Linked DNA regions of Mytilus edulis. The protein of the gene in region 1 interacts with the protein of each later gene in a pairwise test. Links are inferred from orthologs where the notes say so. Each region holds a gene or a part of one and is shown on either strand. Other genes may lie near its edges.

Region 1 (7,032 bases):
TCCATAAAATATCCGTTTGATATCCTTTCAATGCATGACACTGTCTAGTGGTTTTTCTGCCACAATTACAAGGAAAACCTGGCTAAACTTGTGCTAAATCAAACACTTGAATCTTACATCGCTATTGATGTTAAGCAATTATTTAAAGGCCATCCGGAACTGTTGGGTTTTATGACAGTCTTCCTTCCATACACACCATCGCTGCAAAATAATTTGAACATTCAATTAGATGATTATAATATTATTTGGCAATCCAAAGAGAACCTGAAAACATCAGACCACAATAAACAGAGACCCCAAAAAAAAAAAGCCAATTTTACTTTACAATGAAATTGAAAAAGTAGTTAGTTACATGTCAAATCATCTTTTGGCTGTCGACAAAAAATAAATAAAATCTAAATTTCGTAGCATTTTACCCCCCCCCCCTTTTTTTTAACTGAATTTGTTCAAGGTATTAGATGAATTTCTAGCAAGTTTCTACGATATTCTTTATCATTTGACAAAATACTATGCATCTGAATTAAATTGTTTACTATTTGAAAAAGTGCGCCTTCTTCTACTTTAATTTACTTCCCTTTATTTCACATAGCAACAAATATTAAAAACTGCCACATTTGACTGCATATCAATTTTTTTTCCCAAAAAAAATATATGTCAAGCAGCATAATTAACTTTACAAATTGGGAGAAAATCAAGATGTTCCGACTATAGGTTAGTATTAAAAAAAAATAATGAAAGGTTGGCATGATTCCATGTTTGAACCCTGACGACACTTAAAATCGAAAATTCACTTATTTACCTATCATATGAAGATACGATGATGTGATAAACTTAACAATTAATAATTTACCTGGTGCATTATCATATTCACATTACGTTGACACGTCTCAGTTCGTCTGTGTTAGCTCCAAGCTCGTAAACAATGTACACCATTTTCCGCTGTTCTTTACCGATTACCTCTAGTCAGAAGAGCCCACTGTTTACAGGGGCGATAATATTTTGTCACCGGTTCACGCACTGGGTTGAAGGAAGGTGAAATCAGGTAATCTATAGTGTATGAAGACTTATTTTCTAAATTCTCTTCGTTCAAACGAACATAAATTATTTATGTTCTAGACTATATAATTTCTATATATCTCGGCCCAGTCTTTTTCTTATCTCATTCATATATAAATAACTAAAACACTAGTTTTAGAACTTGTCAGGCACGATGACCATTCTCTTTTATCTAATACCAAATCATTACAATACATGTTTATCAAATGAACAACAAATTACAAATGTTTGTAATTTTGCAAATACAGTCCACATCACAGAATATATATACGTCCTCTGTTTAAATAAACTTAAAAAGGTTATCTCAACAATCTACAAAAAACAAACAAAATTTGTTACAAAAAGTACATTTAATACTGTTTTCGAATCTATATGTGCTTAAGTTTAACTAACAAAAACTACGTGTGTACATGCGAATGGTCAACGCCCTTATCGATAATTTCAATTCGAGTCCACCGTATTTAAATACACTCGGGTTCATAAAACCTGTTACAATTCTATTGTTATATTAATAGAATTATCATACGATAAAATTCTTCCGCCACGTACATACATATATTGATTTAATAAAACCCTTATGTAATCTGTTGTAAAATATTACAGCATTATTATATACTCTAGCATTGTACCTATATATGTTTTATTACAGGGGTACCTGAGGTCACTCAATCCCTAAAAAACGAATATAACCAATTTTACTCAAATTAACTTAAAAAAATTACATAAACAACATGAACTATGCAATGTTCATCATGTCCATGAAGTCCTACATTTAAAATGAAGAAATTAGTTTATTACAGCGTAATTTTATACCCTAGCATTGTATCTCTTATTCTTTCATTACAGGTGGTACCTTAGTTCACCCAAAAAATAAAACCCGAATATAACCCATTTAACTCAAAATTAACTCAGTTCACCTTAAAAATTACATTACACAAACGTTACAATACAACATCTATGAAGTCTTATATTTTTAAATGAAGAAATTAATAATTATATACCCTAGCATTGTATCTATTACTATTTCATTACGTGGATACCTGAGATAACCCCCCCCCCCCCCCCACCCACCCCAAAAAAAAACACCTAAGAAATGTAACCAATCTAACTCTAGTTATCTTATCAAATATATGACATACGCTATGCATTGTCCACGACGTCCTACATTCAGAATGAAGAAATTAGTTTATTGCAGCATAATAATATATCATAGCATAGTATTTACTATTCTTTGATTACAGGGGTTACCTGAGCCCCCCCCCAAAAAAAAAACAAACCACAAAATACAACCAATTCGTCTCCAATGAAAAGCAAAATTATATCCGGGTGAAATTTGATCCTGAGGAAAAAATGTCACAGTAGTTGTTGTTATTTTTTTATCCGGAGGAAAATATTTCCCTGGGATATTTTTCCTTTGCCGTTAAATTCTATCTGGGTAGTTAACTTATTGAATAGTTATTAGAAAAAACTTACCCTTTACAAATACCATGAAATAATAAAATGATTTGAATTAAACCTATATTGTAAAAAAAAATGTATTATAATGGGAATTCTTTCACAAATTATCATTGAAAAAAATTCCTGAAAAAATTCAAGTAAATATCGTTCTTTTAAAAAGAAAATTATCATTAAACATAAGAAAGAAAACCAGAAATAATTTCGTAATTGTGAAATAATATCATGATTAAATAAGATAAGTGAAATACATGTAAAAGTGAGTTGTTTTCAGATCTCAGTACAAATATAAATTGAAAAGTAAAGGTAGAAATATAGTTGCAATTCTACTGTTAACAGTAATGGAAGAATTTGATTATGATAATATTATTAACTATAAAAACAGTTTTATCTGGGAACAAAGATGTTGTTGTTGATTATATGGAAATCAGATGAATCATAGCATAACAATATATTGGAACAAAAGCAATTTTAAAAGCTAGATAGTATTTACCTGTGAAATGTTATCTGTCTTATTAAAAATTCATGTTGTAAGTCATCTTTTGATATAACTGAATATATAAAAAATAAGATTCAAGGAAAAATTTCACTATGAAATAGATTCAGGAATATATTATATTAATATCTTTAAAATATAAATTGCTCATAATTACCTCCCTTTGATAAATTATGAAAATTTGTTCTACCTTTGTGAAACATTTTATAATTTAAGTCAGGTATATATTAATTGCGATTAACTTGCATACTAGTTAATGGGACTATATTTCACAAGGTTCTGTGAAATATGATACGGCAAATATATACGGGTACATACTATCCGCATAACACAGATAGATTTTCACTCCTCTGGAAAAATCTACCTGTGAAATACCATGCCTGGAAAAAAATTACTATGACAAATTATCCTCAGGATAAAATATCACAGAGGAAGAAATAAACCGTTACACAAACACATAACATAAACAATACAACGTCTATGACGTGCTACATTGAAGATGAAGAAATTATTTTCAAAATTACATCATCATTATATTATCAACAATATATCTATTTTTTGTTGGTATTAAGTCACATTACAATGTGGTATTGAGATTAATCAATAAAGGGAACTATATTTTCGTGCGAAATAATCGATGACCAATTCCCCCGGTTACCTAAGGGCACAGTTACTTCAGGGCATATATCAGTGGACCTTTCTTCCACCTACACATGGTATATTGCCGGCACTCGGTCATGATAATTTCAAATAAAAAAATCGATTTTTAAGGTTTTAAATTTTATAACAAACAAACAACTGGAACTGCACACCTGAAACCTGTGCACATGAATAAAACTGAAAATTGGGCACCAGTTGGTAGACGTTGCAGTACATGTTACTGTGAACCTTTTTATAGTAATTTGATATTTCTTTGATGATTCGCTGCAATAACAATCTATCCGGAGATAGACCACTGAGTTATCTCCACTTGCTTTTTGACAGTGGGGGGAAGTGGATATCAGTAAACAATTTCCCCTGTAAAACAGTAATAACGGTGCAGTAATAATAAGTCTAGTAAGATCAGTCAAATATCAGAATTGTTTATCAGGATCCGCACATTAGTTAGCAAAAACTGTTACGAGTATTCTATAATTTATCTCAAAATACAGGCTATTTTAGGGATACAAAAATGTAAACAGTTGAACTGTTAAGGTTCATGTGGACCCTATGACTAAAATGGCCGTATTTTCACCTCAAAATTTACTCTGAATACAGACAAACCTGCGCATCTGTAAAAAAAATTCCAGGCATATCATGCCCTAGATAAATAAATTTCAAATATGTTTTATGTTTTAGAAAAATAAAAACTTACCAGGATTTTGCCGTTCACTTTTTTTCATTCCTCCAGAAGTTGCCAAAAAAAACTAAGTTGGTAAACAGGTTTGAGAACTTCCCCACAGGTAATAATTGGCCGTTTCAGAATCTAAAGAATCATGGGTAATTTCATTGCTCGTACCCCAAAATGAAAATAACGTCACGTCATTGGTTGAATTTCCATTGTTTATGACATATATATATTTAACCAATCACGACGTTTTGGTGTACACTTTTGGAAATATTACTTAGGATGCATTAGATTCTGAAACGGCGAATTGAAGTGAGCTGTATTGCTTGACATGGACATGAGATGGACAATAGATACCTAAAAATAATTGGTCATTTAAACTGTGTACCTGAGTGGACCATATCAAGATAAACTCAACTGTTTGTTAATTTTATCATCTGCAGGGACGAAAAAAAGTGTACGGCAAAATCCAGTTAAGTTATAAATTTTCTAATTCATACAATGCATTTGAATTCTATTTATCTAGGGCATGCACATTGTATGCCTTAAAACTTTTTCGGATGCACAGGTTTGCCTGTACTCCGAGTAAATTTTGAGGTGAAAATACAGCCATATTAGCCATAGGGTCCACATGAACCTTAAATGTATGTATATACTCGTGTATTGTATTTTCGACCTACTAACATATTTTTCTGAATTTCCCTTTTATATGTTTGAACATACACATGCCTAATATTTTGAGAGTCACCAGTACACTTGTATCTAAAATACACAATGAAATACATTTCGATCTTTAATTTATTTTTTATTTGAATTCATCGGATCGATGGCACCTTTGTTGGCAAAAACAAGCATCTTGTGTTTTCGACCTATCTAAGAAACAGGTCTAAAGTCGGAAATGACATGTCGTACAAATCCGAAATTGATAGAGGTGATCAAACTTATGACTAAATGAATAGAATGGTTACATATACATGTACAACTATAAGATATAAAATATTATTTTGATATTTTTTTATACCCCCGCTTTAAAAAAGGGGGGGTATACTGTTTTACCTCTGTCTGTCAGTCCGTCCATCCATCAGTCCGTCCGTCCGTCCATCAGTCCGTCCGTCCGTCAGTCAGTCCGTCCCATGAAACTTTCGTCACATTTTTCTCAGGAACTACACATCCACCCTTTCTGTAATTTGCTATCAACATTTATATATGTCAGCCATACCGTGTGATGCATTTTCAGATTCATCACTTGACAACTTCCTGTTTACCGAACACTTGTCTGATTTTACACATGATAGCCAAGTTGAAAATTTTCGTCACATTTTTCTCAGGAGCTACAATACAAGGATTTCTGAAATTTGGTTTCAGGATTTTTATAAGTCAGCTATACCGTGTGATGCGTTTTCAGATTCATCACTCGACAACTTCCTGTTTACCGAACACTTGCATATTTTTACACTATTAATATTATCCACTTGCGGCGGGGGTATCATCAGTGAGCAGTAGCTCGCAGTTTCACTTGTTTGGACAAGTTGTACACATTTTAAAAGGAGACACATTGGAAGCCTTGTATGGTCTTGTATATATTATTCATGTTTTTGTTAAATACTTTCGTTAAATTTAAGTTAGTGCATTGTGAAGTGAGGTTGGTGAGTATTGTCTGTAATTTCCCATGACAGACTGATTTTTCTGTAAATAAAAATTAACTGATATTTTATTTTTTCGGTAAAAATCAGTAAGGAGCATGCATTTCTGTATGCAAATTACCTGTAAGTACATTATATTACAACTAACCATAGGACAGTCATGTGACTTAATGACCTTGAAGTTAACTTTGCATGCAAAAATACCTCTGCCATATTTTTTAGAAAATTTGTTTATTTTAGATCGTTTCTTTGGGAAGGTAAAACTAGTATAGTTGAAGCGTACGAAAATGTGATATCAAATAAAAAATCATGAATATTTAATTTTTATAACTTTATTTGGAAAATCTTTACCACACTTGGTATCATTTGCTATTGTTACTAAGTATAGCAGCCGAATATGACGTCACACAGGCATGCGCGGCATACAGGAAGTGAAAGTAAAATTAGGTTGAAAACGTAAGACGGTCGAAAACACAATACATATACTTCATAATTCAAGATCTAAGTAATATTTACTCGTATAAGTAAAGGAGGAGGGCAGCAAGGATCTCCATGACCTCTTTTATGATGGGGCACCGAAATCTTCCAATACACTTTCGCACCCTACACGTTCGTGTCCTAGTACATTCACTGACCCCTAGACGGTCGCACCCAATTTTTGAGTTCCAGCTGAATAATAAGAATTTTTTTTATATATACATGTATGTATTATTTACCATGTTTACCAAAACAAAAAATATTTTCCTAAATAATAATTGGTGACTTACTACATGATTTTTTTTTTTATTAATTTGTTTGTTAATTAATTATCAAATTTTAGGTATCAATGTATGATAACAGCAAATTGGTATTTGCACACAGCTAAATTTGGTATTATCTTTTGTGTGTTTGATAACCATGATGGATTGTTGTTTTAACTTGCTTTGATGTAAATGATTATGTGATTTATGCAACACCAAAAAGTTGCCAGAATGTCACTTTATTTTGAACCAATGAAAAATTATATATTTGTAGCAAAATATACGGTACCTCGAATGACCAAAATAACACTGTTA
Region 2 (7,461 bases), on another chromosome or scaffold:
TGGTAGTCTATTTCTATGCCTAATAATTTTGCTGTTTTTCATGTAAGGTTCGAATTTTGAATATGTATAGATGGGTTCTTTTCAAAGGTCTTTTTGCCAACAGCCAAAACTTGAAATTTGTCAGGATTTGCTTGCATGTTATTCACCCTGAACCACTCAATAAGTATTTTTGAATCAGATTCCAAAGTTGAAATTAGTAAATCGAAATCTGGAGTACAAAAGACAAAGTATTGTCATCTGCATAGTTATATAAACTACCATTTAACCTTGCTCATACATCTAAATTGGATATTTACAGTGAGGGAAATAAGGATGTCGAAAAGAACAGAACTTTCTGCACACTATATACAAAGTTCATTGCATGTGGCGGTATGGAAAAGAGAAAATATCATTTATAAATATGTTAAACAACAATGGCCCTAGTATCGAACCCTGTTGTACGCCTTTATGGATGTCAGCCCAACCACTAGAACATTGTTGACTTTACTTTACTGTTTTCGATTAGATAAATAGGACTTTAAAAGAGCAACAGCATTGGGGTTAAACCATATGCTGATAATTTATCTAGCATGATATTGTGAGGCAGTCAGTCAAAAGCCGGCTTAGAAAGATCCATTAATACCGCTGCAATTTACTGGTTTTTATCAAGAGCTTCACGCCAGTCTTCTAACACTCTGAGAAGTGTGGTCTGATATCCATGTCCACGTCTAAATGCACACAAAAATGGATTAAATATTTTATCAAAATAATCAGTTAATTGAATTTCCTATATTTTTTCAAAGATTTCAGAAAATATGGGTAAGACACTAACTGGTCTATAATTTGTTTTTAATAATGGGTCACTCTTTTTATGAAGGGGGATCACTTGGGCTTCTTTATGTTTATTAGGGAAACAATTATTTTCAATTGACAAATTTACAAGTGTTGTCAGCTGTAGTGCAATATAAGATTTACAATTTTTTACTATTTTTGCTGGAATACCATCAGCTCCTGTAGCCTTCTTTGTGTTTATTTTATCTAAAAAAAAATCGACATGATCTTTAGATACTATTTGAATTCAAAATCAGAATCATTCTTTCTGTTAATTAAAATTTCTTTTATACTTGGATGATTCGAGGGGTGATATACCACATCTGCTCCAATTTTGTCTGCTACTGTGGAGAAAAAAATATTAAAAACATTGAATGACAATTCTTATCCAATTCTGAAGCTGACTATTTTCTAGTGTCTTTATGTAGGTATAAGAAAAGCAGTTTCATAACATCATAAAGCAGTTGATATAAATTTTATGTTACAATGCATAATACTGTAATACTCGTTACAACAATCCAGTAAATTCACAAAAATACTGAAATCCGAGGAAAATTTAAAGTTAAAAATGGAAAGTCTTTTATCAAATGGCAAAATCAAAAGCCCAAACACATCAATGGGCAACAACTGTTACATTACTGACTTGGTTTAGGCGTTTTCTACATAATTAAACCTAAGCTGTGCATGCTTATAAAAAATATAGAATGAATGGTGGATCAAAGGCTACATACAAGTGCATTTATACATTTAATGTGAGCTCTGAATAGGGGAAATCTGCTGATCTTGTACTAGAATACTTACTATACTATTAGTATAATAGTACAAGGCCTGTTTTCAACGTCACTTTAGATAAATGCTCAAGTCAGACAAGCTTTTTGAGTGAAGGTTTTCTTTATACAGATCCCTTGAAAAAAGCTAATATATTAAACGAACAATATAAATCAACTTTTACATCTGATATCAATACAGTTATCCCTGACAAAGATCCATCAACACATCCAATAATGGACAAAATAGACATCAACAAAGAAGGCATCTATAGATTAATTAAAAATATAAATCCAAAAACGGCAACAGGACCAAATAACATTACTGAAAAAGAACACATTAACACATGCACAGACATACTCACTCTAATTTTTACAAAATCAATGCAAACAGGAATAGACCCTCACGATTGGAACCACGCAAATGTAACACCTCTTTTCAAAAAAGGAGAAAAACAGCATCCTGGTAACTAACGTCCAATTGCATTAACATGTATTTCCTGCAAATTATTAGAGAACATAATTGCAAGCATCATCAAGAAACACCTTGGATCCAACAACATACTTTATGACTTGGAGCACAGCTTCAGGGCAAATAGATCATGCGAATCCCAAATAATATCACTAATTCACCAGCTGTGTTCAAATAACGACAAAAACATACAAACCGATCTAATCATTATGGATTTCGCAAAAGCCTTTGACAAGGTTCCCCACAACCGTTAACTATATAAACTAAATTTTTCGGTGTATCAGATCAAGCTACAAACTAGATAAAATCTTTCCTCAGTCAAATCGTTCATAAACAGCTATGCTAGAAAACCATTCCTCTGACAACATACCAGTTACATCAGGTGTTCCGCAGGGTACTGTTTTAGGTCCAATACTATTTTTAATATACATTAATGACTTACCTGACTAAATTTTACATCACAGTCAAATCAGGCTCTTTCCTGACGATAGCATCATTTACCGACAGATAAAATCAACATAAGATTGCTTTAAACTCCAGGAAGACATAAAAGGGGCAATCAAATGGGAACAAGACTGGCTAATGCTGTTCCACTCTGACAAATGCAACATACTTCGAGTGACCGCAAAGAAAACACCTATCCATTTGTATTATAACAGGCACGGTCACATTCTTGAGTCAGCTGAAAATGCAAAATATTTAGGTATAACTATATTATCAAATTTAAAATGGAAAAAACACATTCAGAACATGACATCAAAAGCAAATAAGACCCTTGGATTCATCAGAAGAAATTTCAAAATAAACTCAGTAAGACAGTAACTATCAAAGACCGAGAATACCAAGCCCTTATTAGACCAAAACATGAATACTGCTTCCCTGTCTGGGACCCTTATACAACAGTAACATTAACTCCATAGATAAAGTCCAAAGACGTGCAGCGAGATATGTATGCTCCAACTACAAATATACTGAAAGTGTAACAAACATGGTAAACACACTTCATTGGCCAACATTACAAGAAAGGAGATTCAAAAGCAGATTAAATATGTTCCATAGAATAACAAACAACAAAATTGCAATACCACATACTGACATGCTAATCAAAAGCAAATCAAACACCAGGTCCAGCCACAAACAAACATAGCGACAAATTCGATGCAGAAAAGACAGTACGTTACAAATTTTCATTTTTCTGCCAAACTATAAAAGACTTGAACAAATTACCTAAACCAATAGCCCGCAGCACCACTACTGAGTGCTCCAAGATGAAACTCACTAGAGAGATGCTCTTTGACACTTACCAACACCTACATGTTTAATATATATCTTGTTTTTATCTTATACCAAAAATTAAAAATAGAAATTGAAAAATATTACTTACCTATACATCTATAATACTAAAATAACGAGGTCCAATTTGTCAGCAGTCATGGGGTAAAACACTACAAATCAAAGAATTAAACTTTATATATTACAAATTTTACAAGAACAGAATTCATTTATTGCAGAATCATCAAAACTATCATTTTTTCGACATTTTTGTTTTTCAAATAAACGTGCACACTATGTTGACCAATTGAATATGTTGAAAGATAGAGCACCTTTGGCAAAACTAAGTCTAAGTGCACACAATCTTGAAATTGAAAGAGGTAGATACATGCAAGTTAACAGAGAAGAAAGGTTGTGCAAATTATGTCATAATAAAAATATAGAAGACGAAAAACATTTTATCTTGCACTGCACAAAATATGAATTTATAAAGAAATGTTCTTATATCAAAATTGTCCTGTTTTAAAAATTATGACAAACAATCCAAAACTGAGGATGAATCAGTATATCAAACTACTACTTTTAATAACAAGTGTAGAAAAACACTTAGATTAATATCATCTTTTATTAATCAATCATTTGAATTAAGGAAAAATGTCCTTATAAATGAGTAATATGAACAATTTGAAGCTATAACATACAATATACTTATGTCAGTAGTCTATTCTTACAAATTAACCTATACATATTGATATTTATAACTGCACATTTCATTGTTCGAAATGTGCCCAATGATATGCTATGTAGTATTGTTTATATATATAGTTATGTACTTTAATTCAGTCAAGGACCCGCAATATCACGGGTGTGTTCTAGTTTGTATATATAAAAATAGAAAAAATATTATAAAATCAAAAATATATTTTTAAACATTTACAATATTGTTAAACCAGGCATGCGTCGGAAAGTAATCATCAACCAGTTGAGGTTTTTCTGTATATAAAGAAGAAGAAGAAGAAAGACTAATTCTTTTCTTATGAATATGATTTCAACACGAGTTACTTCTCTTTGATTTAATTCGTGTCGTTTATTTTCTTCAGTGTTCCGTAAAATGCATGTACCGAAATGGGTACCCACAATGCAACAAAACTGAACCATTTCCACTTTGCTGGAGAAATTTAAATGTTTACAAACTTGTGTTTATGGCTTGAATTTGATACTGGTGTCTATTGTACAGGTTAATTGTGCAACTATTAAAAAAAAGGTAAGGGTTTATACGATTTACAAGAAGAATTTGACTAAAGCAGATATAAAGTACCTGTCAAAAATGACATTTTATCGGGTTTCAGTTTGTGACCAAAATAATTTGTTAATTATTTTTCAAGTCTATGGTAAACCCCTGCAAGATTCATCGCATGCTGTCATTTACATTGTATTTGGAGTTATTATCACCCAAATTGACTCCAAGTTTTAGAACCACATGCGATTGTGAATCGAGACTCATCATATTCTCGTGTATGATTTTTAAGTCATATTTTTTTGACACACCCTTTTCATTTAATCTCTTATAGTTTTACTTAAATTACTGAAACATCAAACTCAGTGTACAGTTCAAATGTATTTGATGTGGATGTCGTAAAACTATCCCATTGACAACTTTATATATCATAACGGCTTATACAGGTTGTGGAACTTCCTGATAAAACTACCAATTTATGCCAATAATTATGGGATCTCCCTTTAGAGTCTAGTCAAGAAGGCTAACCAAGCAACAACAAGGCTACTTTATCAACAAGAAAAAAAACTTGGCATCAAATGAACTTGCTATTACAATTATTTCAAATTAATAAAGTTAGAAACATGGAAAAAAGCTTTAATATGTTAAAAAGTAGTCAAATAATTATGACATAAAGTCGCTGTCATGTAAAGGAGTATGTTCGGAAAGGTCCTAAAATGGCCCCCCTTTTTAGCATAAATTTCAAATTCGGATTTATTGACCAATATCACAATATATAATAGCTAATACAGTGACTAGAAAGGAAATAAGCCATTTTGTTGAAATTTTTACGTTTCTGCGTTTCATTATGACGTCACAAGTTGTACTCATATTGATTTTCACGAAATAATCAATGAAAATGGGTAAATTTCCATAGATTATTGGACAGGAAACGTAAAGCGCATACGTCGACAACAAAGATCTTTTAAAATAATGTTTGTGAAGACATTTTACATGTCTCATTTGAAAATTAAGTTTGTCGACGCCTGCGCTCTATGTTTCCTGGTCCTCAATTTGGTTGAAATCCAGCTGATTTGGTCAAATTTCACCAAAATCCCTTATCTTGACCTTTTTGGGATGTAAAAATCAATGTGTTAGAATTAAACTTTTGACAAAAATAGTTCTGTTTAACTTTATCACGTGTCTTTAAGGCAACTTAAAACATTTAACGTCTTGTAACTATGAACTTTATAATTGGGGTCAAATATGACCCTTACCGAACATACTCCTTTGGTACATTGTACCATGTTTTTGGTTGAAAAATTTTAAAGTACCAACCGCATTCTGACATTCAAAAAATAAACTACTGTCCTACCTTGTATTGTGTTTGCACTGTAAAATCCTGACCTTCACATAATCCAAGACTATTTTGTATGGTGGAATCCAAAATTGTTATTACTGGAAGTGTTGCTGTGGAGTTCCACTTTCTGTCTATTTTCTCGGGTCTCTCAAGTCATTTCATTATCTTTATTGTTTAAATGCAAAAAGCATCGGAAATTGTATCACATCAATGACAAGGATATTACCGGAGGCGGAAAGTAATGAATGTTATGTAAATAAGGGATCCTTAAAGAAACTTAAGACAACAGTTTTACAATGTAAATAATCTTGAAAAATGTGAAGGTCAGGATTATACAGTGCAATCACAATGAATGGTAGGACAGTAGTTGATATTTGGAAAGGATTTTTCTTCTGCTAATAGAAAAACATCACCCCCGGTGGATGCAACTGATATTTAAAAATATTTCAACAAATTTCATGGTGCCAATTTTACGTGACTGTGACTATAGTGTCGATGTAAGGCATCAAAGAAAAAAAGTATAATTTCCTGTCAAGACGTCACAATTATTTGGACTAGTTAAAAAGATAGAAAATTTTTTTTGCTGACGTTTATAACTTCCAATGAATACTAATTGACACATTTAACATGTTGAATGTAGAATATTTATTTGTGTTTCCTGCAGCTTTTCCTAGAGGGCACTCCTTCAATGTAGCATGATTGGTTACATTTTAAGGGCAGATAATTTCACTTTTAGAGCACTCTTAACATAGAAATATGTGCTCTGTTTAAATAGATAGGGATATAATTGAATGTACCATTGTTTCATACTTACAATGTATTGGGAAGAAATAAAGATACATGTATGTATATTACTATTAGTTTGTTAATTTTAGTCCTTTAGTAATAAAATTATCACTTCTTGACTCAGAATCTTGATCATGTTCATTGTGCTTCTGCCTCATTTCAATCATTAAATTCAGTTATAAATACTGGATCACTGATGAGGCTGTCATACATGTAAGATGTGGTGTTGTTAAAGTGGACATGACCAAGAGCATGCATAATTTGTCTTTTAGATGCACAGAAGAAGTGCTACATTTTTTTGTAAATGCCTTTTGGATCTCACATGTTTATACCAATCATACATGAAGATGTAAACATAGCTACCTTGGCTCATTAATGTACAAAATAGTTTAAGAATATTCAAAGATTTGTATAGCAAGACTTATTATACATATTCTGCTGCTTTTATTCACTTTTCCATCTGAGTGTTTTTGTGTATTTTTTTTTCAACACATTGTTTATTATTTTGAATTATAATTATAATTATAATAAATTCAAAACTAAATTCTTTTCTTTAATTTGATAACACCAGTATGAAAGTAGTCGTAATTCACACACAAATTCTGACGTCTTCACAGACCGAATAGTATAAAAAGAAAATATAAACAAACATTGGATTGTTCATGTAATTATCATAAGAATACATTTTTTTTCATCTCAAAATTATAACTCAAATGATTGCCTGGATCCCTTTAAAATGGTCTATATTTTAAGATCGTAGAGGTACGAATAGATGTTG

The links. The genes of interacting proteins can lie anywhere in the genome.
Region 2: the proteins of exocyst complex component 2-like (region 1) and ras-related protein Ral-a-like interact in a two-hybrid assay, tested with the Drosophila melanogaster proteins (2 studies listed by BioGRID). The link is inferred for Mytilus edulis from reciprocal best matches to the Drosophila melanogaster genes Sec5 and Rala.

What each region holds. Positions count from the first base shown.
Region 1 is NC_092348.1:25,985,392-25,992,423, forward strand, and holds the start of exocyst complex component 2-like, read left to right. Parts: upstream 1-3,956; 5' UTR 3,957-4,063; exon of another isoform or gene 4,064-4,110; intron 4,111-7,032. UniProt on the Drosophila melanogaster protein: Component of the exocyst complex involved in the docking of exocytic vesicles with fusion sites on the plasma membrane.
Region 2 is NC_092345.1:84,788,673-84,796,133, reverse strand, and holds the start of ras-related protein Ral-a-like, read left to right. Parts: upstream 1-4,434; 5' UTR 4,435-4,585; intron 4,586-7,461.